Pelodiscus sinensis: one gene and its partners. The protein of the gene in region 4 binds, or shares a complex with, the protein of the main gene of each other region. Links are inferred from orthologs where the notes say so. Each region holds a gene or a part of one and is shown on either strand. Other genes may lie near its edges. The genes, in order: POLR1C, ERCC3, POLR1H and POLR2F.

The links.
Region 1: POLR2F (region 4) and POLR1C share a complex: the UniProt entries of both Homo sapiens proteins name them as parts of the pol I pre-initiation complex. The link is inferred for Pelodiscus sinensis from reciprocal best matches to the Homo sapiens genes POLR2F and POLR1C.
Region 2: POLR2F (region 4) and ERCC3 share a complex: the UniProt entries of both Homo sapiens proteins name them as parts of the TBP-based Pol II pre-initiation complex. The link is inferred for Pelodiscus sinensis from reciprocal best matches to the Homo sapiens genes POLR2F and ERCC3.
Region 3: POLR2F (region 4) and POLR1H share a complex: the UniProt entries of both Homo sapiens proteins name them as parts of the pol I pre-initiation complex. The link is inferred for Pelodiscus sinensis from reciprocal best matches to the Homo sapiens genes POLR2F and POLR1H.

Annotation. Positions count from the first base shown.
Region 1 is NC_134713.1:139,251,544-139,258,796, forward strand, and holds the start of POLR1C (DNA-directed RNA polymerases I and III subunit RPAC1), read left to right. Parts: upstream 1-4,238; 5' UTR 4,239-4,270; coding exon 4,271-4,339; exon of another isoform or gene 4,340-4,343; intron 4,344-5,053; coding exon 5,054-5,125; intron 5,126-6,340; coding exon 6,341-6,448; intron 6,449-7,253. Other genes in the region: protein YIPF3, read right to left, coding at 1,016-1,108, 1,912-1,957, 2,797-2,903, 3,262-3,462, 3,694-3,777. UniProt on the Homo sapiens protein: DNA-dependent RNA polymerase catalyzes the transcription of DNA into RNA using the four ribonucleoside triphosphates as substrates.
Region 2 is NC_134717.1:3,276,367-3,284,208, reverse strand, and holds the start of ERCC3 (general transcription and DNA repair factor IIH helicase/translocase subunit XPB), read right to left. Parts: upstream 3,001-7,842; 5' UTR 2,705-3,000; coding exon 2,686-2,704; intron 1-2,685. UniProt on the Homo sapiens protein: ATP-dependent 3'-5' DNA helicase/translocase. Binds dsDNA rather than ssDNA, unzipping it in a translocase rather than classical helicase activity. Component of the general transcription and DNA repair factor IIH (TFIIH) core complex.
Region 3 is NC_134742.1:11,063,685-11,071,128, reverse strand, and holds the start of POLR1H (DNA-directed RNA polymerase I subunit RPA12), read right to left. Parts: upstream 3,012-7,444; 5' UTR 2,864-3,011; intron 2,242-2,863; 5' UTR 2,240-2,241; coding exon 2,110-2,239; intron 1,891-2,109; coding exon 1,790-1,890; intron 1,579-1,789; coding exon 1,469-1,578; intron 1-1,468. UniProt on the Homo sapiens protein: Core component of RNA polymerase I (Pol I), a DNA-dependent RNA polymerase which synthesizes ribosomal RNA precursors using the four ribonucleoside triphosphates as substrates. Can mediate Pol I proofreading of the nascent RNA transcript.
Region 4 is NC_134711.1:92,139,034-92,146,428, forward strand, and holds the start of POLR2F (DNA-directed RNA polymerases I, II, and III subunit RPABC2), read right to left. Parts: upstream 3,016-7,395; 5' UTR 2,902-3,015; coding exon 2,882-2,901; intron 1,339-2,881; coding exon 1,269-1,338; intron 339-1,268; coding exon 208-338; intron 1-207. Other genes in the region: C1H22orf23 (UPF0193 protein EVG1), read left to right, coding at 3,522-3,530, 6,130-6,250. UniProt on the Homo sapiens protein: DNA-dependent RNA polymerase catalyzes the transcription of DNA into RNA using the four ribonucleoside triphosphates as substrates.

The DNA of each region.
Region 1 (7,253 bases), on a different chromosome or scaffold from region 4:
GACAGAGAAGACATCTCACAGAACAGATACAAGCCAATCGCTACCCCCTCGCCAGCAGATTCCCCCTTGCCTTTGGCAAATGTTTAGCTAATGCCTGCCTAGCAGCATCCAGAGAGGGAGGATCAGTGATACAGTGCTAAACTGTATAGCACAAGAGGCCTGCAGAAGTGACCTCAAGTAGGTAATTCTGTCACGTGACAGATTTTAGGGATGATCTTGTGTGACATCACCACAGAAAGCCTCCATGTCCTAACGTTTTCTCTATCAGTAGATGAGACTTCAGTAATAAATACAGGTATCATAACATAAAACATGCATAACTCAGTTTAAGTTTGGCTTATAAAAGATAAATAGCAAAGTACATCCAAAACTCACATTTAGTCAGTAAAAAAGCCCAAAGGTGACACACAATAATCTTTACAAGTTTTAAATAAAAGCAGTGCTTACAGGTATGTTCCAGCTATATTTGTAGTGCTGCCCCATAAAACTAATTTAACTGGCTGATCAGACCAGCTTGACAATGATTTTCCATCCAGCTCCAACTTATCCTGACAGCCCTCACACACATCCCACTCCCAGCAGTGCCCAACACCTTAGCCCCCCTAGCCCCCCACTCACCTCAATATACTGCCCCCTCCACAGCTCCATCACTCTCAATCCCACTCACAACTCACCCTGGTACCTTTCTAGCCACTCCCTGGTAACCCCCAGTACAGCATCCTGTTCCTGTCCCAAGCTAGGGTGGCTCCTCCCAATCCTCACCATCCAGTCCTGGATTTCTGATGCAGGGGTGCATCTCTGGAATGCTCCAGCTGCACTACACCCTACGCTAGTTCATCCACTGCAATAGGCTTTTTCCCACTTCCCAGACAGCCCCAGAATAGGCCCTATCACACATCAAGGTTCCTGTCACCAATGCATTTCTAAGTCACACTCAAAATAGAAGCACCCCATGTAACTGACAGCAGTTCAAAGCCTGGTGCCAACCTGATTTGAAACTGAAATATTCCCTTACAATTATAGTGTCTGAAGTCTTCATCCCATGCAACAGGATAGCCACCAATGTGAAGACCAGCATAAGGGGGCCGTAGAGCTCACCTGCAATCTTCTACAAGGGTGACAGAGAAGAGAGGGGTTTGGTTAGTGCTGCAGAAAGCCAGACCACATTCAGATTACCTGGGAAGTACCCCAGACTTAGCTCATACTCTGGTCACTTGCTGACCTGAGCAATTATACAAAAGGCTGGTGATAGCTACCAAAGAGAAACAATCACATAAGTAAGACTTGAGGAAGAAGCTTAACAGAGTTATTGAGTCAGATCAGGAGCTAAAGTCATGCTTGTCCCACTGCAAGAGACAGGTACAGACGGGGTGTGGTACAGTGGGAATTAACCAGAAAATCTAGCAGAGGCACCATACAACAACATCTCTCTCACACAATTCATACATAATCAGTCACCCTGGCACATGCATGGCAAAGTGCTTTAACTAATTCCCTACTCTGGGAGAGGGGGGCAGAGAAAGAATGGAAGGCAAAATGAAAGGAGTCTGAGTCAGAGCCCAGGGTAGCCTGCTTTCAGGCCCAAGACAGCTGTAATTCACTTCTTGACAAAGTGAGCAAGAGCTGTCTGTAGCACTGTGTCAGCAGCACTTTGCTGACAGGCTTATTCCTTAGCAAACTGACAGTTTCAGAGAGCATTGAACTTGGAGGTGAATGTGAGTAGAGGGCAGGGCCCGATTGTCCCCTTGGTGCTGGTTGGAATTTCTGAACTCCCCTCAGGCAAAGGTGTGCAGCCTACTGATAGAGAGATGTGTGTGTTAGAAATATTTAACAACCGATTAAGTGCTCCTGTACTTTCTAAAGCGCATTTACTCAGGATATAGAATAAAAGCTCTCCACAGTGGAACTCACCTGGGGAAAATTAATCATCTTCATGGGGATCATGGATTCCAGCAGTCTGCACCTCACAGAAATATCAAGAGTGAGGAAGGAAATGAAAAAGTTAACAAGAAACCCAAGAAGCAGGAGATGCTGTATTCCATTCCCTGATCAGTGATACAAAGCTCCATATCTCTTCCCCTCTGACCCTCAACAAAGCCAGCCAGTCCCACTAACAGCCAGGCACCAGACTGGAAACAGTGCCTTAGAGGGGAAGAGGATTTGTATTGCAATCCTATCCCCCTGTGCACAAACAGTTTTCTCTGCCTGGTGTCCCGAGAGCAGGGTGACACCATGGCTATTATAAAGGAGATGTGCAAAGTGTTGCACTTGTGGGACAGATGAGGTTTTGTAGGGCTATGTATGCCCTTTCCCCACACTGTATGCAAGAGCAGTAACAATGAAAGGCTAAAGGAGCTGCTGGTTCAGCTCCACAAACCCTGTATCTTACACTTAGAATGGCAGCACTAGGCTATACATGAAACAACATGCATCTCAGGATGAACTGAGGGTAGCCCTTTAGGAATAATGAAGGGTAAACAAGGGAGGATCCTGGACAAATTTCCCCCAAAGGCTATCTCCATAGCAAGTCCATAAGCAGACGTGGATTAGTTAGGAGCTATCCAGGTCTTTATTATGTGAGAAACAGTGGGAGATGCTCCTCACTTTATGGCATGACCCTTCTGTCCTGTTCAGGTTGCATCTCTACCCCGTTATACTGGACCAGGAATACATGACAGGCCTTTCACAGTACCCCATGAAGGGGCCATAGTAGTGGACCGGGCTGCTCATACGAGGATGCGAGACTGAGATAACTGCATGGCCTAAGTCATTTGCCCCTGTGCTTAGTTTGCTCACCTGTTGCGAACCTGGATGGGCTCCACATCAAAGTAAGGTCTGAGAATATCAATGTTGGCATAGAGATTGAAGGCCTTCGACGCTTGTCTCTTACCTGCCTGCCACATCTGGGGAGAGAAATCAGTAACTGTAGCAGACTAAACATTCCCTTTGCAATGCCGTTCTGAGGCGCATCTCCTGGAACCAAAGCATCCAGTGGCTAAATAACCAGAATGAAAATTAAACATCTTTGGAGTGATCAGCATCCCATCCAAAGCCTAGGGGAAAGTAGGACAAAAGACATCAAGCCCAGAATGGGACTCAAGCTGTAGCACCCAGAAACCAAAGGTGAGATAGCTCAGGGTCATATTGGAAATGGCTACCTGGACCTAAAATGGGACTCAACATCTATAGCTCACTACAGTCAGAGCCAGACACAAGAAGGCAACACAGCCCGCCCCCCATCTCTTGCAGCGCTCTGCTCACCTGGTCAGCTACTTGCCGGCCCAGCTGTCCCTTAAAACCCTTCATGCCCAGGAACTCTCCATCCTCCTCGTCTGCCGCAGCAGCTTCTGCATCCACCTCCTCCTCCTCCTTCATGCGCTGGTGCATCTCGCCCATGTCCTCGAAGCTGGAGCCAGACGTGTCGTCCATGTTCTCCATGTCGATCACAGCGGAGCCGCCTCCCTGCGCCCCAGGGCAAAGGGTCGGGGAGTCAGGCTCAGCGCCAGGGCCGGGGAGCGCCCGTCCCAGCGCCGCGGCGCCCGCAGCAGGGCAGGCGCCACCCTAGCTCCCAAGCCGGGGAAGCGCAGAGCCGGGGGGGGGGTGTTGTGTTGGGGGGGGGCACAGCAGCGGCCCGCACCGCTGACAACCGCAGGGCCCCCCCGGCTCCCCCCTCCTCCCTGCCCAGCCCCGCACCTGCATATTGTCCTCGAAGCCGCCCCATTCCGCGGCGCTCCCGGGCCTGCCGCCGCCCGCCGCCGCCCCCCCGGGCCCGGACATCCTCCCCGTTGGCTGGGGGCACCGGGGCCCCCGGCCGCTCTGCGCCTCACTGCAGGGGCTCCGGGGAGCCTAGTCTGGAGACTGACGTGACTGACGTCAGAAGCCTCGGCAACTTCGGCCGAGGACGTGGATGCGCCTTTGCTCTCGCGAGATCTCATACTAGCGACCAGGTCTCGACGCCATCTTGGTTGTGGCATAAGAGCGAGCATGAAGGCGCCTCTGGGAGAAGGGTCTGGGGAGAGCGGTGCCTTATTATCAAGACAGCGTCAACCCAGCGGCGAAGACCCACAACCCCGCGATAGCAGTAGTGGCTGTTTCTTAGGTCAACGCCACACCCAATATGGTGAAGACCAAGTCGGGCTAAGGCGCCGGCGCCGCCAAAGCGGAAGGAAAGGTCCGTATCACGTGACAGGGCAGTGGGTATTCACTAATGCGACTGCGCAGAGAAGAGCCGGATTGTGGCCGTGTCACGTGCTGGGGGCGCGCCAGGAAGATGGCGGCGCGCGGCGGCGTGGAGGAGATGCGGAGCCGGGTGATACTGGGGGAGTTCGGGGTCCGCAACGTGAGTGAGTTGGGGGCCGCGCGCGAGGCAGGAGGGGGCCGGGCGCGCGCCCGGGTCTTGGTGAGCGGCGGTTGGGGGCGGTTTGCCCCTGGCACGCGGCCCCTGCTTCGCTCCAGCTCGGGGCTGGGCTGGCAAGATGCGGCCCCCTGACAGGGAGGGAGTCTGGCCGCTTCCTAGTCGCGCCCTGTGGCCCTGACCCCGCGTTTCCAGGCGCGGCTCGGGCAGAAGGCTCCTGTCCAAAGGGCTCACGAGCTGTGGTGCTGCCCCGGCAGGGGCCGGAGCCGCGCGCCCTTTAAATAGATGCGGTAGCCGGGCAAATGCAGCAGCAGCGTCGGGAGCCCTTGAAGTTGCCGCTGTTTAAAGGGCCTGCAGCTCCCGGCCCTGCCGCTTCGTGTTGCCTGGCGGCCGCCCGGGACTCCCGATCGCAGCACTGCCCGGCAGGGGCCGGAGCCGCGAGCCTTTCCAATGGCCGCAGCAAGCCCGGGCGGCTGCCGGGCAACGTGGTGGTAGCAGCAGGGCCGGGGCCCCGAGCCCTTTGCGGTGTTTTTACTTCAGAACCTCCAGCCCCAGACAACTCCGGGGAGAGGCGAGTCCCCAGTGTCTCCCCTTTTGCCCCAGGCCCTGCCCCTTCTGGCGGAGGGGGGTTGAGCCAGCCCATGACTAACATTCATGAAGTGGCCCACCCCCAAAAATTACTGCCCACCTCTGCTCCAGGTTCACACCACGGACTTTCCTGGCAACTACCCTGGCTATGACGACGCTTGGGACCAAGCCAAGTTCGAACAGGTAAGAAGCCACTGGGGACCCTTAATGGGGGGAAGAAAGGGGGTCTGAGCAGGCAGGGGGCAGGGAACCAGTGTTCCCTCTAAGATATTTTCCTTCCATGAGCGAAGTGAGTTTTGTCTTCTGTGCCTATAATGAGGTCACGTGCACTTGTTCGGATGTGTGTCACCATATCCCCCACCAGTGGTGATACTTCTCAAGAGACTCTCCCAGCATGCAGACCTGAGCTCTGCTCCCAGGGCAGACTCTGCCCCCTCGCTGCTCTTCCCCAGGCTGGCTGAGAGTCCCTGCCTGAGGCTGAGGGAAGCTGCTGCCAGTGCCCAGGGTTTGCAGGGAATTAGGTGCTGGGGCTGGCAGGAGGTTGCAGGGGTAGGGAACTCTGAGGGGAGAAGAGACGTGTGGGGGTGGGAAGAGGGATGAAGTGGGCCCCAGCCCCAGGAACAGCCTCACCACAGCCCAGCTCCAGCCTTGGCCTCAGGAACAACCGCTGCCCAGCAACCCGGCTCCAGCTTCAGCAGCCCACCTTTCCCCTGCAATATGGCTTGCCCAGGAAGCAGCTGGGCAGCCACTACACAGCCCTGGCAACAACTCCAGCTCTGGGGAAGGTCAGGAGCAGGCCCCAGCCCCTGAAGCAGCCACCCTCCATGCTGCCACATGGCCTGCCGTGGCCAACAACTTCAGCTGTGGGGAAGGGCTGGAGCTATGGTCAGGGCTGCATGGTGGCTGCCCAGCTGCTTCTTAGGTGGGTTATGTCGCTGGTAGCTACCCTGTGTACCGGGGCTGGGGCTGGGGCTGGAGCTGGCTCCAGCACCAGCACACAGGGCAGCTACCCACCATACAGCCTATCCCAGGAGCAACTGGGCAGCCACCATGCAACCCTATCCCTCCAGTCTCCCACAGAGCCTACCGCCAGCAGCTTACCTTCCAGTGGCTCTGATGAAGAGGTGGGCGGGCTTCAAATTCTTTGTGCACGCCTGTGCAGGCATGCACCCTAGAGGGAACTTAGCAGGGAACCTGTGAGGGACCAAGGCCTTGCAAGCGGCGGGGGTTGGGGGGGGAGAGACATTGGGGTCTCCTGTGGCTGGCCTCTGCAGCCCCATAGCAGGTGGCCATTAGCCACCTGCTCAATACCCCTCTGCACCTGGCAGCAGCCAACAAGGCTGAGCCCCTCCTCGTGAATTGGTACCTGGTGACTGCTCCCTTGCGTGTGCCCTACAGAATTTCCGGGTGGACGTGATCCACATGGATGAGAACACGCTGGAATTCGACATGGTGGGGATTGACGCAGCCATTGCTAATGCCTTCCGGCGCATCCTGCTCGCTGAGGTACCCACAGAGGCTTCCGGATCTTCATGCCAGGGCTGCATGACCCAGTTGCTAGTCCCATCAAATCCTGTCATGTCTTTTCTCACTGCTAGACCTGGCTAATGTTGAGCATCTTTGCGATAGACAAAAAATGTATCCTAACCTTCTCTTTCTCTGCCCAGAAGCTAGATTGTGTTAACTGGTAAAGAAGTTTGAAGGCAGGCCAGCTGGGGCACTAGCTCCTGGGAGTGTTGGGGGGAGTGAGACCCAGATCTTTGGAAAGGTGAGATTGTGACTGAAGAGTATAGAGAAGGCAGAATCTCCGAACTCAGTGAGGTGGAGAATAGGCTTGAAGTGCACTGAGGATATTCCATGGACTACAGAACTCAGTGTGCTCCAGGTAGTACAGTCTTTGACCCTGTAAACTAGAAGTTTATGTAATGAGTTTGTGTAAGAGAGCACCAGTGCTAAAACAGAAATTGTTGCATTTCTAGGATGAGAAGTATAGTCCAGCTGCTAATAGCTATTAAAGAGCCTATGCACAGATCTATGTCTCTGGTATAGGGCCATGTTCTACAACTGCTCATAATGGGTAATACTAAATCCTATTAAAGTTAGTGGTAACATTCAAATTATTAGCAATTACACAACACAGTTATTGGGAGGGAACCAGCAAACAGAGAGAGGGAAAGTGGTAAAAGCAGGGAATGAAGAAGATACAGGATCCTGATCTAGATCCTCCTTTGGTGATGGTATCTGTGAAGGGCAAGAGTTTGACTTACTCCAAAGAGGGTGGGGTGGAGCAAAAAAACTTTTGGCTGGGTAT
Region 2 (7,842 bases), on a different chromosome or scaffold from region 4:
CCTACCTACAAGCTCAGAGTAGAGCGGAAGAATAACTTCTCATGTCTTGCTCACAACACACCTGTTCATGCATCCCAGAATCATGTCGGCTTTTTTTGCAACAGCATCACACTGCTGACTCTCATTCAACTAGTGGTCCACTAGAACCCTAGATCCCTTTCTGCTGTACACCTTCCTAGACAGTCGCTTCCCATTCTGTATGTGTGAAACGGATTGTTCCTTTCTAAGTGAAGCACTTTGCATTTGTCTTTATTAAACTTCATCCTGTTTACCTCAGACCATTTCTCCAATTTGTCTAGATCATTTTGAATTATGACCACATCCTCCAGATTAGTTGCAACCCCTCCCAGCTAAGTATCATCTGCAAACTTAATAAGCGTACTTTCTATGCCAATATCTAAATTGTTGATGAAGATATTGAACAGAGCTGGTCCCAGAACAGACTGCTGGGGAACCCCACTTGTTATACCTTTCCAGCAGGATTGTGAACCATTAATAACTATTCTCTGAGTACGGTTATCCAGCCAGTTATGAACCCACCTTATAGTAACCCCATCTAAGTTGTATTTACCTAGTTGATAAGAATATCATGTGAGACCGTATCAAACGCCTTACTAAAGTCTAGGTATACCACATCCACTGCTTCTCCCTTATCCACAAGACTCCTTATCTTATCAAAAGTGGCAAGGAGTCCTGTGGCACCTTATCTACTAACCGAAGTGTTGGAGCCTAAGTGTTCATGGGCAAGACCCACTTGGTCATATGCATGCAGTGGAAATTCCCAGAGGCAGGTATAAATATGCAGGCCAGAAGAGGTGGATCCAATGAGGGAGGATGAGGCCCACTTCTAGTTGCTGATCTGGAGGTGTGAATACCAAGAGAGGAGAAGCTGCTTTTGTCATCCTAATCCTATCAAAAGCAGCTTCTCCTCTCTTGGGCTATGTCTAGACTGCAAGCCTCTTTCGAAAGAGGCTTTTTTCGAAAGATACTTTCGAAAAAGCCTCTGTTGAAAGAGAGCGTCTAGACTGCACGCGGAACTTTCGAAAAAGCAAGCCGCTTTTTCGAAAGACAACAGCGAGTGAGTCTGGATGCTCTCTTTCTAAAAAGCCCTGTTTGCTTTCAAGAACGCCTTTTTTCGAAAGAGCACTTTCGAAAAAAGGCGTTCTTCCTCGTGGAATTAGGTTTACCGCTGTCGAAAGAAAAGTCGCGTTCTTTCGATTTAATTTCGAAAGAACGCAGCTGCAGTCTAGACGCAGGTGAAGTTTTTTCGAAAAAAGGCTACTTTTAAAAAAAAAAAAAACCCTGAGTCCGGACACAGCCTTGGTATTCACACCTCCACATCAGTTACTAGAAGCGGGCCTCATCCTCCCTGATTGGATCCACCTCGTCATCTCCAGCCTGATTCTGGCCTGCATGTTTATACCTGCCTCTGGGAATTTCCACTGCATGCATCTGACGAAGTGAGTCTTTGCACACGAAAGCTTATGCTCCAACACTGCGGTTAGTCTATAAGGTGCCACAGGACTCCTCGCCGCTTCTGCTGATCCAGGAGCAGGGCTCCTCCTCGGATACTGACCTAGCGAAGAAAGCTACAGGCACCCAGAGGCAGGCGCATGCACAGAAACGCACAGAGGCGCCCCCAGACACACGCACCCACCCACACACACCCCAGACACCCACATCCACCCCCACCCCCGCCGACACCCACCCACACCCCCCCACACACCCTGACACACACCCCCCACACCCGACACACCCACCCCGACACCCGACACACCCCCACCCGACACACACCCCGACACCCCCCCCACACCCGACACACCCCCACCCGACACCCACCCCGACACCCCCCCACACCCGACACACCCCCACCCGACACACACCCCGACACCCCCCCCACACCCGACACACCCCCACCCGACACACACCCCGACACCCCCCCCACACCCGACACACCCCCACCCGACACACACCCCGACACCCCCCCCACACCCGACACACCCCCACCCGACACACACCCCGACACCCGACACACCCCCACCCGACACACACCCCGACACCCCCCCCACACCCGACACACCCCCACCCGACACACACCCCGACACCCCCCCCACACCCGACACACCCCCACCCGACACACACCCCAGACACCCCCCCCACACCCGACACACCCCCACCCGACACACACCCCGACACCCCCCCCACACCCGACACACCCCCACCCGACACACACCCCGACACCCCCCCCACACCCGACACACCCCCACCCGACACACACCCCGACACCCCCCCCACACCCGACACACCCCCACCCGACACACACCCCGACACCCCCCCCACACCCCGACACACCCCCACCCGACACACACCCCAGACACCCCCCCACACCCGACACACCCCCACCCGACACACACCCCGACACCCCCCCCACACCCGACACACCCCCACCCGACACACACCCCGACACCCCCCCCACACCCCGACACACCCCCACCCGACACACACCCCAGACACCCCCCCCCCACCCGACACACCCCCACCCGACACACACCCCAGACACCCCCCCCCACACCCGACACACCCCCACCCCCCGACAGGCTCAGGTCCGGAGGCCCAGGCCGCTGGGGGGGGGGGTCCAGGTACCGCCGCTCGGCCCGGCGCCCCGGGGGGGGGGGGGGTTCTCACCTCGCTCGCGCTTGCCCATCGTCCCGGGCCCGTCACTGCCCAGCCGCGCGACCACCGCTGGGCCCGGCGCCTGCCCTGCGCGTCACTTCCGGCACGGGGACCCGCCCAGCTTGTCACCTAGCAACGCCCATCCCGTGTAGCCCTCCCTCGTCACCCGCCCAATCGCAGCGGCGGTACCGGCCTGACACTCCACCTGCGCGGAGCGGGGCCCCGCCCGCCGGCCGGGCCAACGGCCACCGCGGGGGGGGGGAGGGGCCAGCTCCAGCGCCGCGGCGGGCGGGCTCAGGCGCGCGCCGCCGCCGTTCCCGCGCTCTAACGGCCAGCGCGCGACCGGCCCCCTTGGCGCCCCGCCCCTCCCAGCTCGGCCGAGCCCCGCCCCTTCCCCCGTCACAGACACCCGGGGGAGTGGGCCCCGCCCCTCGTCATAGACACCTAGGGGGTAGGCCCCGCCCCCCCTTCCCACGTCATAAACACCTGGGGGAGCGGGTCCCGCCCCTCCGCGTTTTCGCAATAACGATGGGTCCAATCAGAAACGTCCAATGCGGGTAGCAGATGCTAATCCCGCCGCTGGAGCCAGGGGCAGGTTGCTGCAGCCCCGCCCATTTCAGCGGAGCTTCCTACACAGCTAGTAGTGTGACTATGCATAAAAAATTGCCCAATCAGGGCCATGGTTCTTCGATTTAAGTCATAAAAACAGGTATTTTAACACTTCAGCTGCATCTACACTGGTAGGTTCTTGCACAAGAACAGGTCTAGCTTTGCACATGGCAGTGTGGACGAGCTCTTGTGCAAGAAAGCTCTGACAGCTATTTTAGCTGTAGGGCTTTCTTGCAGAAGAAACCCTTGCCATACGTCCACACTGCCCTCTTAGGCAAGAAGGCTTACACTTGTCCGAAAAGAGCATAGCTCTTGCACAAGAAGCCCTGTCTTCTGCTGCCCTACTGTAAATCTTGCACAAGAGCAGGGGGGCAGGGTGAATTTTTGTGTAACAAAAAATCAGAGGCATTTGTTTTACAGCATGAGGGAGGGTTTTTCACATCTATAAAAGAGGACTGTTGTAGATTTAAACTTTCTAGCTTGGGTGTAGACAGATGCTTTTGGTACCATTACTTGCATGTTATATTTTGCTTTACTTAGAAGATATGTTACTTGTCTAGTGTTGCAAGCAAATGTAATATGTGAATACATATATTTGCTGTCTTGGAGACAAATCAAGAGAAATATAAACTGGAAATAAATATTTTATTAACACTCAAAGTGCCATTATCTATAGTTGTTCCATAGTTCATAAGGTTACATCCTGTAAACCTCTGCACCATAACCTTTCAAAAATGAATAAAAATTTGGAAGAAAAAGCAATCTTTCATTGTGCTAATTCTTGCAGGTTCTCATGCATGATCAACCTAAACAAAGATGTGTACCAGTAATATACAAATTTCATATAAACAAAGTCATTGATCAAACACAAAATATAAACATGGCTTCTTTTAACATCAGATACAAAAAAAACCCCAAACAAAATAAAAGCCATTTACCAGCAAGAAAAAAAAACAGGTAAATACATACAAAAGTAAAAAAAAAAAATCAAAAAAGTTTATACATTTTTACAAGCACAATTTTGAGAATGTAACAAAGTCAAAATGTGCATGAAAAGTGGAAGAAACCACACGTACCAGGCAATTAGTAGGTCCTGTGTCTAACAGAGTATACTGGCTCTTTTCCTAAACTATGGAATTAGAGACATTCAGCAGTGCACTGTGTACCTAGCATGAGAATTTTTACTTGGTATCACTTTAAACATCATACAGGATTTTTATTTTTTAAGCCACAAAAATGTTAAACAAATTGGAAGTCAAAAGTTTGACTGGTATTCTTGAAAGGAGTAAGCCACATTTTTAAAGCATGTTCTGAACTTCTTATGTGCCAGTCAATCAGCGATATAGTAACATGCTTATCTTTTCCAATACCAGAAAACTGGAAAGGGAAAAGGGTAAAGAAAGAGAAGCATTAACATTACATGCAACAGAAAGGACAAGAGATGGAAAAAATCTGACTTTTCCAAGGTTCATTTTGTTTTCACACATTTTTTCAAGTAGCTTTGAGAAGTCAAAGATTGCTTTCCCCTTTTCACAACAGTTATTTTCTCTGTATCACTGACACTAAGCATTTTGGGTTTGTTTTTTTAACAAAATTCTTAGAGAAATCACACTGTTGTCCCTCCAGAGTGCTTTAATATACTTCTAAGTACAATTCATGTCCAATTTTGGAAATACAAATACATTTTGAATGATTAAAAACAAAATTAAAAAAATATTTTCTGAACATCAGCCAGCTGAAAATATATTTATCTAGTAAATTATCTCTCAAAGCTTTTATATATTTAATTATTCTAACTAAACATAGTACCCTTAAAAACAAGTTCATAAAAATGTAGAAATTAAACTGTGGAATAAGACTGCTGGAACATATTTATGTGTACGCACACACACATTCAGTTCATACGCAGAATTACAAGTACACTTTAAAGTTTGGAAAGTTGCTAGATACATTATGGAACTAGTAAGTAATGCTCAACTCCTGAGTTCCTCAACCAAGATATAACCATAGGCTAATACACTTTTACATAAGATATTCCATTTAAAGCAGCAACAGCAGCAGTGCAGTTACTGATAGCAACATCTCAAAAGGAATAAAAAACACATCCAGACAGTAGTACATTGCACACATACGTGATTCTCATACACCCATCAATTGGTCAGAGTATTAAATCAGTGTACTAATTAAACTTTTTCAAAAAATGTGCAAAAAAGTCAACATTGATAGAAAAAAACACCTTTGTGTACATACATTACAAACTGTGCCCAGCATTCAACTGAGAGTAAAAACATTTACAGAGAGAAACTGATAGATTAAATATAGAGAATTTAACAGCTACATAAAAAATGTACATTAGATTAAAAGGGCAAATTTACACATTTATTCATAGCATTGTGAAAATTAAAAAGCCTACTTTCAAATTTATCTAAGTCTCCAACATTTATTTACAATGATATTCCATTAAATGAACTGTGTGACATCTGAGATGGCAGACATTAAGTTTTAATAAATCATTTACATTTTAAAATGAATGACAGATTTAGACCAGTAGTAAGCTAACTATTGTAAAACTGACAGGAAAAAAATGTAATGCTTGTTTTTATATCCACGTTTATATTCTCAGGGGATGGAGGAAGAGAAGATCTATTACAGGGAAAAAAGATGCCAAACTTTCTGAAATATTCCCCATGTTACATTCAGTATAAACCCACATTTTTTTCTTCTCTTCTCCACACAAGAAGTCTGGTCTTGCAATCCTTACTAGCAGGAGTTCCACCAACATGACTGAGTGATCAGGTCAAAAATTCACTAATTTTTATCCAGTCTTTTCTCTCCTTTTAAAAGAGCTAGTCAAAATGAGCTCACTGAATTTTGTCCTTTCAGTACATGAGAGCTCAACTGAACTACACCTTTTGTTGCTACCAATTTTTGCCAAGGTACTGCTAATGGTAGAACGTAAAGTATGATCCAAAAAAGATACTGAAGTAATGTCAGAGAAAATTTAACACACAAACCAAACAGAGTACTCTTTGTTCCTGATCCAGAGTTTGACTTAGAAATCTTATCTTGGGTAGGAAAATTCTGCTCCCTCCAGTGTACATTCATGGCTCTCCCCTTAGGGCAGTGTAAGTCCCATGTTTCTAGGGGGTGAAATTTGGCTCTTAAATTAAAAGGACTACTTCCCCCAACAACCTCTGAGAAGTTGTTTGCTATGGCACGACAAGCAGTTCAGATTACAAATCTACTTTACTTCATGGCTTTCCTTAAATTCCCCCCAACTCAAACTTGGTTATAAGGAGTAAATCATAGGAAAGAAATTTAGTCACCAAATTTTGCATTATGTTAGTGATGTCAATAAGACTGTGTAGAGTTCAAAGCTTTTCATTTTAATGCTGGAATGAATTTTGCACCTCAAAGCAACAACAACAAGCATCCAAATCTATCTTAAAAAATGGGCATTGCTGGATCTCACTTTTACTAGTACCTGGTTTAGTCTATTTAGCAATAGCTTTCTGGTAGATAAGGGTGAGTAACAGTACTAATCTATGAAACATCACTTTTGGCTTTTGGAGAGGGGATAGAAAAGCTTTGGGTTTTTTTTTTTTTTTTTTTTTTTTTTTAACATGATTTGACACTGCATACTTGTCATGAATACAAGATAGGAAGTTCCCAGGGGGTAAGAAATGGTATTGGCAGTAACACCTTTGCTAATCCAAAAAACACCATATGGATTTGCATTCAACCACACAATATATACTTTTTTATATTCATGATAATAGTTTAAAGAACTAGAAGATTAAAAAGCTAACAAACTTAGTTCTACACAACTGTAGATCTGACCAATTTGTTTAAGTCTCTGAAGCTGTAGTTTGACATTGCTCAATGTTGCCTGAAGGAATGGCTTACTACACTGCACTGTGTACCTTCTGCTTCTCCCAGGAAAGCTTTCATTCAAGACAATGGCAGGATTAGGATTATTTAAAAGCAGAAAACAATATCAGTTCAAACAAAGGTAGCTCAGTTGAACTATTTTCTCATTTGTTAAGATAGAAAATACTGCTGTACCTTTTTAAGCAAAACAACTTCCTTTTTATTATAGTTCTTGGGCAAGATAGCTATCCTGTCTCAGTTTTCCAATCTGTAAAATGGGGATAACATTAACCTCTTTGCTGGAATGTTTGTACAGTACTCTGAACAGAGAGAGCACTGTAGGTGCTAAGTATTTTTATCATTTTAACACTGTAGTAAATTCTCAGCCTAAAAGCCTGCTACAGTTAAAGTAAAACTGTTGATGCAATTAGTGAGTTCTGTTTTGAAGCCTCGTATATATTTGTAAAGACTATTTTGGTGGCACTAAACGATTAGACAGCCATATGATTTAAATATGGTGTCTCTACCTAAACAAAATTAAGGCATAGAGATAAAAAGGCACTACCAAAAGAGACAGGACAACAAAAGGACAGTTTAACTCAATTAGAAATGTACCCTGAACTATTATAAATTTTTTTTCCCAAAACAAAATGGAAGGAATTATGTATGCAAAAAGGAAAAGTTTATGGT
Region 3 (7,444 bases), on a different chromosome or scaffold from region 4:
CTGGGAATAGAGATCCCCCATAATCTGCTTTTTGGGGGTGACCACAGGAGGGTCTCTGTAAGGGATATAGAGGCCACTCGCCTTCCCACTTTACTCCTTTTGTCCATTTACTTTGATGAGTTACAGCACACAACAGGCAGACCAGGTAGTTAAGATCTAAAGAAAGGCAACTCAAAGGAATGCAGCAGGACTGTGTGAATTGTTCCACGCTGGAAAATTAGATTGACCCAGCTACATCGCCGAAGGGTGTGAAAAATCCACCCCCAGCGGAGCATAGTTAAGCCTACCTAAATCTCAGTGTAGCCAGTGCTTGGCTGATGGATGAATTATTCCACTGACATTGCTATTGCCTCTCGGAGAGGTGGATTACCTGTGCCGTGGGGAGGCCCCACCCCCCGCTGCAGCATAGGCAGTACACACTGATGTACACCTTGTACACTACAACGGTTCAACTGTAGACAAGCTGAAAGACTTTACATGGAGCCAGGTTCCATGTGTGCGCATGCGTGTAATCGGTAAATCTCAGTTTCCCCACACACATCCCCATTGTCGCTGGCCAACGCACGTCCATTAGGTCGGCATACACCACATCCTAGTGTTGTCTGGCTTAGTGTGAGTGAACAGCACTCTGGGAAAAACCTAAGCAACTTCCCACAATACCCTGCAATAGAGGTGTAAAGGGGTAACCGGTTAACCAGGGGTGCCTTCCACCCCTATTAAAATGCTAACTGGGGTAACTGATTAACTGATCATCCAGAGCACCCCACTCCTGACTAGGCGCACGGTGCCGCAAAGGGAGGGGGAAAGGGAGATTAAACACAGTTTAACTGGTTAACATTTTAAACAGGATTTTAACGAGCATTAGGCATAAGCAGATAGGAAACCTGTGAAAAATCGAGATGCAAGCCAGAGCGGTCTCTTGCCAATATCCACAACCAGGATAAGGAAAGGTATAGAGCAAGTTAAGAGATTGGAACAAACAGGAGGGGGCGTGTGTCTGGATTTAAGTGACGTATTTGGTAACTTGCAAAATCATTCTAGATATTTCTGGCTGAAATGCTTGGGGACATGCTGTGTGCCATGTTCCCTCTAATTTTTTCCATCAATGTGTGGAATAAATTTTATTGCATGCACTGAGGAATGTGCAGATGTGCATCACCAAGAGAAACACAAATCTACCTGTGGGCAGTCTGCTTGTCAGTGGGGCAGCATTTGAATCTCCTCTGGGTGGCTGCCCACGTGCTCAATTTACAGGAGAACATTGTACACCTTGTATAGCAAGAATACGCAGCTAATTTTTTTCCTGGGAGTTTTTGTGTTTTTTAGGGGGGCAGCCTTTCAAGATACACTCCAGATTGGTTTAACTGATGAGGACAGACAGCTGAGATCTAGGTTTCCTTCCCGATTGATGATAAATTTCCCATTCTTCCCTTCTAACGTGATCAATAGGGAAGGGACAGTGCCTTACTTGCACTGGCTGCAGGTGTAGAAGACGGTCTGTCCTTCATCCGCAGATCTCATCTGCCGGGTGTGGTACACCATGCCATCGTGGCCACAGCGGGGGCACTTCCTGTCAATCTGAAAGGATCCCCAAGGTTGAATCAAATCCATACAATGAAGATTCCCTCCTACCTCCCACAAAAAAAAATCAAAATAAAATCCACCACTGGCATAAAAGGGAAAGAAGTCAAAATCAGGTGATAGTGTATTGGTGGGACTCCCTGCTGCAGGATGTTAGACTATTGATGTGTGTTTTCCTTCCCACCTTCCTACAGAAATCCCCACTCACCATTGGTCCCCTGACCTCCTGCCCATCATCCAGCATCATCACAGACATGGAGCCCAGCCTGTTGACCTCAATACACGACTGGACCACCCTTCCTTCAAAATCTGCACAAGGAGAGCCACAGGCATTACTGGGGAACTGGCGAATCAGAGAGCGGAGCGAACGCACTCTATAGACTCGCTGTTTGGTCAGCCAGCACTAGACCCCACTCCCTCCCAGAGGCCCCACCCCCCTGCTCTACCCACTAGCCCACACTCCCCATCTTGGGGGATTTCCCTCCCTTAGGTCAATGCCAGCACACATGTGGGATGTGCCGCCCTCACCTCGTATGTTGATGGAGAAGGAGCACCGCATGCAGGTCACCTTGTCCTGGATGCCTGGCAGGGGCAGGATGGTGCCACACTCGGGGCAGAAATCCAGGTCCGACTGGAAGCAGGAAGTGTCCTGTTCCATGGCTGGGAGAAAAGCCCCAGGTTAGCTGAGCGGTGGTTGTAGGACTCAGCCAGGTCTCTCTCTCTCACACTCACACACACACACTCTCTCTCTCTCTCACTCTCTCTCACACACACACTCTCTCTCTCTCTCTCACACACACACACACTCTCTCACACACACACTCTCACTCACACACTCTCTCTCACTCACACACACTCTCTCACACACACACACACTCTCTCACACACACACACACACACACACTCTCTCACACACACACACTCTCTCACACACACACACACAAAACAGAGGGATGGGTTTGCACAGGAGGCCAAAAGCAGGGCATATCTGCATCAATTCATGCCCCTCCCAATACTGCACAAGCCCCCTCCCAGCTGCTCCTAATGCCCCCACATCCTTTCCCCTCCCCCCCACGCTGCTCCTAATGCCCCCACACCCCTCCCCCTTGAACCCACGTTGCTCCTATTGCCCCCACGCTGTCCCTCCCCCCACGCTGACCCCATCACACGAACTCTCCCCCTCGCTGCCCCCTTTAATCCCGAAGTGGTACCACGTAACCCCCCTCCCCCCGCGCCTCCTGACACAGGGCAGGTCCCTGCCCCCAAACCAGCCCCCACGCACCTCCCCGCTGCGCTGCGCGGCTCCCCGGCCCCACACGTGTCGCAGCGTTCGGAGCAGACAACTCCGGCCGGGCGGGGGACAGAGCGGCTGGTCCTCCAGAGGAGTGGAGACAAGGGGCGGGGCGAGGCAGAGTGTCCCCCCTGCCAGGGGCTGGGGCTCAGCAGCTGGAATGGAACAGCTGCCAGCCCCTCCCCCTCCTTTCACCTGCACCCCCTCTGCTAGTGCCCCTCGCTCCTGGCCCCCAGCCCAGCCCTGCCAGTGCCCCCCCAGCCCAGACCCACAGCCCTGCACTCCCCCCAGCCCTGCCAGTGCCCCCCAGCCCAGACCCACAGCCCTGCACTCCCCCCAGCCCTGCCAGTGCCCCCCAGCCCAGACCCACAGCCCTGCACTCCCCCCAGCCCTGCCAGTGCCCCCCAGCCCAGACCCACAGCCCTGCACTCCCCCCAGCCCTGCCAGTGCCCCCCAGCCCAGACCCACAGCCCTGCACTCCCCCCAGCCCTGCCAGTGCCCCCCCAGCCCAGACCCACAGCCCTGCACTCCTCCCAGCCCTGCCAGTGCCCCCCAGCCCAGACCCACAGCCCTGCACTCCCCCCAGCCCTGCCAGTGCCCCCCAGCCCAGACCCACAGCCCTGCACTCCCCCCAGCCCTGCCAGTGCCCCCCAGCCCAGACCCACAGCCCTGCACTCCCCCCAGCCCTGCCAGTGCCCCCTAGCCTAGACTCACAACCCCCTTCCAGCCCAGCCCTGGGCTCCTCCCAGCTCTGCCTTCCAGTTCCCCCCAGCCCAGCCCTCCAGCCCCTGCCAGCCTATCCAGTGCCCCCCAGCCCAAATCCCCAGCCCTGAGCTCCCCCAGCTCTGCCAGTGCCCCCCAGCCCAGACCCACAACCCTCTGCCAGCCCTGCCAGTGCCCCCAGCCCAGACCCAAAGCCCTGCCAGTGCCCCACCAGCCCAGACCCACAGCCCCTGCCAGCCCAGCCAGTGTCCCCCAGTCTCATTCCCCCCAGCTCTGCCAGTGCCCTCCCAAGCCCAGACCCACAACCCCTGTGTCCACACCCCCTGCTTGGCCATTACCCCTCGCTCCCACCCTGCTGCTCTGTGCTAACTTGGCCCACGGGCTCCCAGTTTTCCTTAGTGCTTCTCAGGGCTGACCCTGGCTCAGTCTGTCTACAGGCCCTGGGTCAAGGCTGCAGGGCCGGCCCACAACATTTTGGCACCTGAGGCGGGGAGCTCAAATGACACCCCCATGCCCCCTCGCTTGGGCCAAAACTTTGAAAGTTCTCTTTTGCCCTCCTTCCTCCAGCACAGCACTCCACCGTCTCTGTGCGTCTAGAGCAGAGAGAATACATATTCACCAGCAGCAGACACAATTTTCTACAGTCTGGGTCCTAGTGGTGCCCGCCCCCAGTCTGGCACCTGAGGCAGCCGCTTCCGTTCACCTCGTGGTAGGGCTGGCCTTGCAAGGCTTGGCCAAAGCATCTGCAGTTCACTCAGTGCTAGAAGAGGTGCTAGGGCTTTGTATCCCCTTCTCCAGGCACTCATCTGGGACCAGCAGAGAACCCAAAGCCCTAGAGGGGCCAGATAGAACCCATGAGTCCTGGCTTCCAGTTTCCCCCTTACTCTAACCCGCTGGACCCCTCTCCCCTCCGGGAGCACTCTCAGATGGTGAACAAGGACCAGTTTAAGTCAGGCATGCAAACAGGGCCCATATACCGTAAAACCTGTGTTATCCGGCACGCTTGGGGATTAGAGCATTCCGATTATCTAAAAATTCCGGTTAGCTGAGGGTCCCAATAACCTAGGAAAAACCAATGGACACCAGGGCCGTGTCCAGACTCAGGGGTTTTTTCGGGAAAAGTAGCCTTTTCCCGAAAAAACTTCCCCTGCGTCCAGACTCAAGCCGCGTTCTTTCGAAATTATTTCGAAAGAACGCGGCTTTTCTTTCGATGGCGGTAAACCTCGTTTCACGAGGAAGAACGCCTTCCTTCGAAAGTTCCTCTTTCGAAGGAAGGCGTTCTTCAATGTAAAGAGGCCGTCTTCGAAAGAGAGCATCCAGACTCGCTGGGTGCTCTCTTTCGAAAAAGCGGATTTCTCTTTCGAAAGATCCGCCTGCAGTCTAGACGCGATCTTTCGAAAGAGGCTCTTTCGAAAGATGCTTTCGAAAGAGCCTCTTTCGAAAGAAGCCTGCAGTCTAGACATAGCCTAAGGGTGTGTCTAGACTACAGAGTTTTGTCGACAAAAGTGGACTTTTGTGGACAAAACTATACTTGCGTCTACACTACCACTGAGTTCTGTCGACATAACATCGACAGAACTCAGCAGTTCTGTTGACGCTGGTAAACCTCATTTTACGAGGCATAACGCCTTTTGTCGACAGACTTCTGTCGACAGAAGGTGTTATTGCCTGTAGGGTTGCGTCTAGACTACAGGGTTTTGTCAACAAAGCAGCTTGCTTTGTCGACAGAACTGAATGTAGTCTAGACGCTCTTTGTCGACAGAAGCTTTGTCAACAGTATCTGTCGACAAAACTTCTGTTGACAAAAGCCTGTAGTCTAGACGTACCCCAATAGTAAAACTCAAGTTTTTAATGTTGGTAGTTTTGCAGTGTGAGGCAGTTGGTCTCACATTTCTATTGTGAGTTAAAGATGATTAGTACTTCTTAATAAAAAAATTGTGAAGCCAGTTATGGTAAACCAAGCCAGGCGTGTGCGCCTGAAGATGTGACAGTATTGTGGCTGGGGGCAATGCCGGTTAACAAAGTGCCGGATAACAACATTTTCACTGTATTAGGTTTCCCCAGGCAGGCTCAACCTAGAGGTCCATCTAGCCCAATAGCTTGTGCCTGGCAAGACAGCCTGTAATGTTTGTGTACACCCAGGCTACGTCTAGACTGGCATGATTTTCCGCAAATGCTTTTTCCCTTTGTTGCCCCATCCGTCTTTGCCCACGAAAACTTATGCTCCTACACTTCAGTTAGTCTATAAGGTGCCACAGGATTCCTCGCCACTTTTTTAGTGGAAAGTCAGTGACCGGTTCAGCATCAGAGCATCAAGGGAAGTTTTACCACAGGTGACAAGAGGTTTCAAACAAACAAAAGGAAGTGTTTCTTCACGCAGCGCACCGTCAACCTGTGGAACTCCTTGCCAGAGGATGTGGTGAAGACCAGGACTTTAGCAGGGTTCAAAAAAGAGTTAGATAGATTCATGGAGGTTAGGTCCGTCAATGGCTATTAGCCAGGAATGGGTAGGAATGCGGTCCCTAGACTCTGTTTGTCAGAGGCTGGAAATGGGTGACAGGGGAGGGATCACTCAATGATTTCCTGTTCTGTTCACTCCCTCTGGGGCACCTGGCATTGGCCACTGTCGGCAGACAGGACATTGGAGTAGTAAATGGAGCTATCAAGCCATGTACTACTCACTGGGCAAGGTGGACCTTTGGTCTGACCCAGTATGGCCGTTCTTATGTTCTTAAGAGTCAGGACGACACTTGGCAGGTGACACTGAGACCCAGATGTGGTGCCTTGACGGGCCCCATGTTTTGAAACTCATCTGCACTGCCTCTGGACAATGGCCCACGTGAACTGGTGGGACAAGGTTCCTAGCATGGAGGTCCTTAAGCCGTGTGGTGTTGTGCGCAGGGAAGTAAGGCTGCTGAACAGTTCTGCTGGATTGGCCATTGGATGAGGAGATGATATGTGGATACCAGCATGGGTGGTGGGTGTAGGTAGGGTTGGGGAAGGCAAGCCCCACTCCCAGCCCTGCCCAAAGTCTCACCCCTTCTACCCAGGCCCCATCCCCATGGGAGCCAAGCCTCTCTTTCCCCCACCCAGCGTGTGGCTCCAGCCTCCGTGGCCCCGGAGCACACGTGGCAAAGCTCTGACCATGCCCCAGGGGTCCCACACTTCTGGCAGACAGCGTTTGCCTCAGAGGCATGCTGGGACCCTTCACACGGCCTCTCTCTTTACTAGAGGCAGGGCTCGCTGCCTACTGAGCCGTCCTGGCTAGTCCACAGTTTGGGGTGAAAACCCCTCTGTAGTCCCCGTCTCCTCTCTCCACTCTGTCGTGGCGTGGGGGAGTGTTGGGAGGAACCCGGGCCCACCCACTACTCCAGGATCCGGCCCAGGGACCCTAAGGCAGCGACAACAGACAGGATATTCTTCTGCTGCCAATCTGGCAGCTTCTTTCCTGAGCCGCTTCCTCAACTGGTCCCTCCCTGCGCCTTCCCTCTGGCACCTGAGCTAGTCAGTCCCACTCCTCCCTGTCACTCTGCCTTACTCGCCATCCTCAGCTCTCACTCAGACACCTCTCTCTCAAATCTTGGGCTCCTACTGCTCTCCCTGCAGGGAGGCCCTTATCACCAAGCCCCAGCAGGCCTTAATGAGTTGCAGGTGCCTTGATTTGCTTGCTGCTTCTGGTAAGCCCTTAATTGGCCCCAGGTGCCTTCCTGATTAAGCTGCACTAGACTCAGCCCTATTTACTCAGGGAAGAGAAAACTGTTCACCCAGAGCCCAGCATGTCTAGCCTCCATTAGAGTGCGGCAGCCAGCTGGTCTGGGTCTGTCATAGAAATGATGCAGGAAGATTGGA
Region 4 (7,395 bases):
TATAATGCTCTAGTAGGCTGCAGAGACTCAAGTTTCCATTTCCATTTTGCAGATGTCATACAGAACCTCACCTCGCAGGGCAGGTGGAGAATCCACAAAGCTATGGAAGATCACGAATAGTAAGAAAGTAATTTAAACACGGAAAAAACATTTTGAAATGCCATGAGATGCCTATGCCAAGGCTGGGGGTGGAACAAGTGTACTTACGCTATCTGGAGCGCACGAGTGCCCAGGACTCTGGCTCTCTCATATTTGGTCATATATGGAGTCGTGATCCGCTTCTGATTTGCCTGTTGTCTCTCTCCAGATGGAAGGATTTCTACATTCTCTTGACCCTCCTGAAGAAATAAAGGAATATAAGCTATTGTAAGCATACTGAAGGAGCTGGGCGTCCTTAATAGATTTTCTCAGACTTTGGAATCAAAGTTTAAAAAGTCTACACAGAATTCCAAAAAAGTACTTTGAGTAAAGAACAACCAAACATCCAATTGGGAAGTGCATTTATCTGATTAATATTAGGTTACCAAGACCTGGATTCTATTCCCATTCCTAGTGTCTCACTCTGTAGAGTGCAATGCGATCAAGATCATAGAATCACAGAGTTAGAAGGGACCACCAGCGTCATTTAGTCTAACCCCTGATAAGATGCAGGATTTGTTGTATCTAAACCAGGAGTGGAAGACCTTTTTAGGGTTGAGGGCCGCTGACCCACGTTCCCCTTGCACACCAGAGTCTATGGGGTTCCAGGCTAGATTTTGGAGCATCAGCGAGGGCTCCCCAATGCTGGGGGAGAGCCCTGGGCTTTGGGGGCCAGATCCAGGCAACCTGGAGGCCACATCCAACCCTGGGGCCTTAGGTCCCCTACCCCTGTTCTAAACCATCCAAGACTGACAGTTACGCCCAGTGATGGAGCTTCCACAACCTCCCCAGTCAGTCTGTTCTATTGCCCTGCTGTTCTTACTGTTTGGAAGTTTTTCCTTAATCTAAATCTGCTATACTGTACTGTGAACCCACTGCCTCTGGTCCTTTCCTCTGTGGAAGAAAGAACAACTTTTCTCCATATTTTTTATGGCAGACAAGTGCTCTAAGAGCCCGCACCCTGCAGTGCCATCATAGGGACAACTGCCATTCCCAGTAACTAGCTCCCAGCAGGACAGGAACTCAGAGTGGTTTGGGGAAAATGAAAATGCTGTATAAAAAAGGAGGCATTGTGAACCATACAGGGGCTAAGCAGAGAGCTGTTGGGGAGGAAGGGTTTGAGCACTAACCTCCTCTGCATTCTCCAAATCATCCAGCCCTTCATCTTCCTCCACATCATCAAAGTCATCACCATCAAAGCTGCAGGTGACAGAAGGTCACTTTTCACTCTACAGCCAGAGCCCAACCTACTTGCTGCCGCCACCCAAGGTATGTCTAGACTACAGGCTTTTGTTGGCAGAAGTTTTGTTGACAGATGCTGTCAACAAAGAGGGCAGGTCTAGACTACACGCCTCTGGCAACAGAGGCATGTAGATTAGGCTACCCGGCATAGGAAGATGAAGCGGTGATTAAATAATCGCCACTTCATTTACATTTAAATGGCTGCCACGCTGAGCTGATCAGCTGTTTGTCGGCCCAGTGTGGTAGTCTGGACGCTCACGGTCGACATCAAAGGCATTTGTTGACCTCCCAGGTAAACCTCATCCCATGAGGCATACCTGGGAGGTCGACAAATGCCTTTGATGTCGAGCGCGGAGTGTCCAGACTACCGCACTGAGCCGACAAACAGCTGATCAGCTCAGCGTGGCAGCCATTTAAATTTAAATGAAGTGGCGATTATTTAATCACCGCTTCATCTTCCTATGCCGGGTAGCCTAATCTAGATGCCTCTGTCGCCAGAGGCGTGTAGTCTAGACGTACCCAGAGCGTCTAGACTACATCCAGTTCTGTCAACAAAGCAAACCTCTTTGTCGACATGACAGTGTAGACGCAAAGGACAGCGTAGCTGCAATAACGCCTTCTGTCGACAGAACTCTGTTGACAAAAGGCCTTATTCCTCGTAGAATGGGGTTTACAGCCACCGACAAAACTGCTGAGTTCGACAAACGTTACGTGGCCAGAACTCAGCAGCAGCACAGACGCAGGTAGAGTTTTGTCGACAAAACCCCCTAGCCTAGACACCCCCACTGTGGAGATTCCAATGCAGCCTTGCTGCCTCCCCACCCCCGCGGCCCGCTGCTCCTCCCCTGCAGGGCTCCACGCCCCCCCCCCTCCCGGCCCGCTGCCCCTCCCCCGCAGGGCTCCACGCCCCCCCCCTCCCGGCCCGCTGCCCCTCCCCTGCAGGGCTCCACGCCCCCCCCCCCTCCCGGCCCGCTGCCCCTCCCCTGCAGGGCTCCACGCCCCCCCCCCCCCTCCCGGCCCGCTGCCCCTCCCCTGCAGGGCTCCACGCCCCCCCCCCTCCCGGCCCGCTGCCCCTCCCCTGCAGGGCTCCACGCCCCCCCCCCCTCCCGGCCCGCTGCCCCTCCCCTGCAGGGCTCCACGCCCCCCCCCTCCCGGCCCGCTGCCCCTCCCCTGCAGGGCTCCACGCCCCCCCCCCCTCCCGGCCCGCTGCCCCTCCCCTGCAGGGCTCCACGCCCCCCCCCCCCTCCCGGCCCGCTGCCCCTCCCCTGCAGGGCTCCACGCCCCCCCCCCCCTCCCGGCCCGCTGCCCCTCCCCTGCAGGGCTCCACGCCCCCCCCCTCCCGGCCCGCTGCCCCTCCCCCCGCTTTGTCACGCGCCGCCCCGGAATCCCCTTCCACCCCATTTCCCTGGGCCGCCTCCTGCCCGGCCGGGACCCGCCTGCGGCCTGGCCCTTCACCGCCGGGGCCGGACCCGCCTCCCCAGCCACGGCGCCTCCTTCTCACTTGTCCTCGTTGTCAGACATGCTTCCGGCCCGGCGCGAGACTCTCGCGACACCAACCGCAGACCCGCCAGGTGACGACGGAGCAGGCAACCCACGAGAGCGGCCGATGAGCTCTCCGAGCAGCGACTTCCGGGGTCAGGGATAGCGGAAGCGGAAGCGGGTGGCGGAGCGGATCTCCATGGCAACGGGAGGCGCTAATTCGGGTGAGTAGGCTGAAGCGACTGAATCGCTGCGAACTCCCGAATCTCCGCGCTTCCGGGTTGGGCCCAGGCCGCCCGCCAATCAGGGACCAGCACGGGTTTCCATGGAGACTGGAAGATGACGTTGGCGCCTCATTCTAACCATCAGTTGCATCACAGCTTCGTGTGTGACGTCACCGTATTATAGGCGTCCTCTCCCATTGGGCGCTGGGTGGCGAGACCCCCGTGAAGGGGGCATTACACTGCCAGGCGCTGACTCTGCCTGGGCACCCCCTCTGTGGGAGAGGGCCTGTGCCCCTAACAGCCTGGCACCCTTGGGCGTGAGTGGGGCCATGACGAGGCATCCTCACAGGGAGGTCCTGGGCCTGGCCTTGTTGGGTTAGTGTGTTGCTGCATTGCATCGCTCTGGGGGGCCTGGGCATCATCCTACTGCATTACGCAATGGGCTGGGTAGGTGTTGTTTCATGGCATTGCATCATAGGTGACTCACGGTAGCAGTCATGGGGTGCTCCTGTCAAAATTGTAATTGCTAAATGGGGTGCCCCCCATACCCGCTCTCTGTTCCTCTGGGAGGCCCTCCTTGCAACCCCTCCCCCGACTGGCACCAGTCATCTATGTCAGTGGTTTTCACACTTTTTTTGTCATGAACCAGTTGAAGAAAATTGTTGATGCCTGCGACCCAGCATAGTTTGAGTACGGTATGGCCTCCAGGGTGGCACTGAGGATGAGCGCTTTGGGGTATAGGAGGCGGCCCAGGCTTTGGGGGTGGGTCAGGGCTGGAGCAGGAGAGGCTTACTTTGAGCTCCTTTCAGTTAGCAGTACAGTGGGGGTGCCAAACCAAGCTTCCTGCCTCTCATGGAACCACAGACCATGCCATGCCACAGAAGCAGCCAGCAGCAGGTTCCCAGCCAGTGGGAGTGCGGAGCTAGTGCTCAGGGCAGGGGCAATTCACAGAGCCCTGTGTGCCCTCCCGCCACCCATCCCCCACGTAGGAGCCAGGCCTGCTGCCGGCTGCTTCTGGGGCACAGTGCAATCTGCAGTGGAGGAGCAAGGGCAGGCCTTAGCTCCTCCACTGATCACCTGATCCCCCTGCAGCAAGACCCAGTGCCTGATATTCTATGACCCAGTACTGAGTCACAACTCATAGTTTGAAAACTGTTCTGTGGCAATGCAGTGTGGGGGTGGTAGGACAGCTTCCTGTTGCATTGTGCCAAGGTGTGAGGAGTATCCCACTGGGGCACTGCACTGTGTGTGGAGCAGGGTATCTTCTCTATGTAACTGGATAGTGATGTCATCTGTGGTATCACAGATGTGAAATAAACTTACATTGCTGCACCCCATGGGGAGGGAGAAGGATATTTCCCCATCAGCCTGTGGTGATGAGTTGACTAGTGGGAAAGTACATTGGTGCATCTAGACTAGCAAGATTTTGCGCAGAAACTTGCCAGCTGTCTACACTGGCCGTGTGAATTTGCGCAAGAGCACTGACTTTGTAATGTACAAAATCAGTGCTTCTTGCGCAAATACTTTCACGCTCCTGCTCAGGAAAGAGCCCTCTTGCGCAAGAATACTTGCACAAGAGGGCCAGTGTAGACAGGGAAGAACTGTTTTGCACAAAAAAGCCCCGATGGCTAAAATGGCAATCGGGGCTTTCTTGCGCAAAATCACATCTAGACTGGCCACGGATGCTTTTGCGCAAAAGCACTTTTTGCACAAAAGCATCTGTACCAATCTAGATGTGCTTTTGCGGAAATACTTTTAATGGAAAAACTTTTCTGTTAGAAGTATTTCCGCAAAATCATGCCAGTCTAGACGCAGCCCATGTGTTTGTATGTGTGACAGTGCTAAGGTCCTTGAAGATTACAGCCCAAATCAGCATAAATTAAGATATATATGGCAGGAGTGGGGAACCTTTTTTGGGTCAGGGGCCAATGACCCACAGAAAAATAAGTCAAGGACCAACACACAAGTGAGAAGCCAACTCCCCCCCCCCCCCCCAACTGATGTGGCCCTCAATTGAGCAGCAGAAAAAATTTACACTTCCTTCACTCATGCAACTCAGGGCACCAGGGTTCCTCTCAAACTCCAGCCCTGTGGAAGGGGCAAGGCTCAGGGCTCTCCCCCAGGACTGGATTAACTCTTCTGGGGGTCTGGGGCTAGTAGATTTTGTGGGGGCCCCTAGGCTTTGAGGTGGGGCTAAAAATGAGGGGATTATTGTGCAGGAGACGCCTGCTAGGGAGTAGGGTGGGGTGCAGGGTCTGGGTACGTGGTAGTGTGCAGAGGCAAGTGGGGGTATGGAGTCTGGGCAGGAAGTAGGGTGCTGGAGCAGGTTGAGGACAGGCATCAAATCTGTTATTCCCTCTGAAGAGGAAGTGTCATGTTCTGAGATCAAGCATGTAAATGTGTTGAGCTCATGCATCCCAGTGTATGGCTTCACTGCAAAGAAAGGTGTAATTGCAGTGCGGGTAAGCATACCCACACTAGCTTTAATTGACCTTACAGGGTAACCATAACAGTGAAAATATGGTGGCATGGGCTGCAGTGCAGGCTAACAATCCTAGCACTAATTGGCTGCAGGGAACCCTTGGTATATGCTTGGATTGCAAACCATGCTAAAATCCATGCTCCCACAGCTTCACTACCATTGTTGCCTGCTCTCAGTAGATTAAAACTTGTCTGGGTATGTCTATCTGTGCTAAAATTACAGCACATTAATTTGTGTTGTCAAGGTATTCCAGTCTACGTAGTGGTTAATATGACTGGTACGTTCCTGGGGTTTACCACCTTTCTTAATTTGAAGTAATTTTGTCATCACAACAGAGGAAAATAAAAAGAGGGCATGGGAGATTCCCTCAGTAACTTTTCAGGGGTCAAGGCTTCAATAGATTAGCTATATCTAAGTAAGTATTAAGGTTGACTTTGAATTAATAGAGACTGAGTAATGGGATTCTAGAATGATCGAGGGCCATGAACAGAGAATGTTCTTTTGAGTTGACTCATTAGAAGTTGAATATGATTTACTGACTCCTGGCCTCACTGTCATTTACAGGGCTTCACAATGTCTTCCCAGGAGGGAAGAAGAAAAGTGCCAGCTGTCCCAAAAGGAGCCGGTTTCTGGCATTCTCCTGGGATAACTCAGTATGGACAAGAAACAAAAGAGCTGTTGAAAGGTAAAAGGAAGATTGAATGGAGAACAGTGAACAGGTCTTTGACACACACCTCCTTAAATTTGTATCATGCTTCCCGCTTCACTGGATCATTGTTCCATTTATAGCAGCAGTTTGCACATTTTAAAAAACAATCCAAAAAACTCTACTGCTCACACAATTCCCCTCCTCCTCCACCTGTGAAGAAGATGAAAGAGAGAATGAACCACATCTAACAGATGTTAGTCACATCATTTGATGCACTACTGGAAGGTGCCCAGGTACTACAGTGATTAGGATGGTAAAAGAACTTACCTAGAATAGAAAAAACATTAGTAACTCATGTTGCTCCTGATGCTTGGAATGCGCTTCCTAAATCCATTCTCTCCTTCTTCCTTACCTCATTCACTAACTCCTAAAGACTCCTGCAGCACCCAGGCCTGCTGACAAGGAGGGCAAAGAGAGCAACTGCCCCCAGGGCCTGGCAATTCCAAAGGGCCCAGGGCTCACAGCAGTGATGGTGGCCAGAGTCCTGCACAGCACTCTCTTGATAGCTCTGAGGGCTGGTGGGATGGAGGGGTGGCACAGTCTATATACTGCTAAGGACTGGCTGATGCCAGCCCTGCCCTTTCTGGAGCGCCTGACACACACCTTGCCTAGAGGCCCGGCAAGTCTTTCTGCCCCCTTGGCAGTATCCTTTCCCCCATATATACAGTTCAGTGGTTTAGAATGTGTATCTGCCTAAACTGACTGAAAGTATTATTCTATTACCATAACCCATGCCATTCATCACCCTTCCCTTTCTTGCTCTCTGATACATTCTTACATCTCCTATCCAGTATTTAGTATATAAGCTTTTCAGGACAGGAACCTGTCTTGTATATATTTCCTATAAAGTGCCTATCTTATCCAATCTATCTGTCTCTCTGGATTTTTACATGATACTCAAGCACACTTAGGGGTGTTACAACATACTAAATAACAACCTAGTTCTGTATCCCTCCTCCAACTGTAACCAAAGTAGATAACATAAAATCCCTTTGTTGTACTAATTCCACATGACTATGCCACATGGGTAATGCCATCCTGATCCCCTAATTGATGATCAGCTAAAGGATTAGGCTCCATAGCTTGTTTAACTAGTTCCCTTGCTAGACAGAGTTACTGCA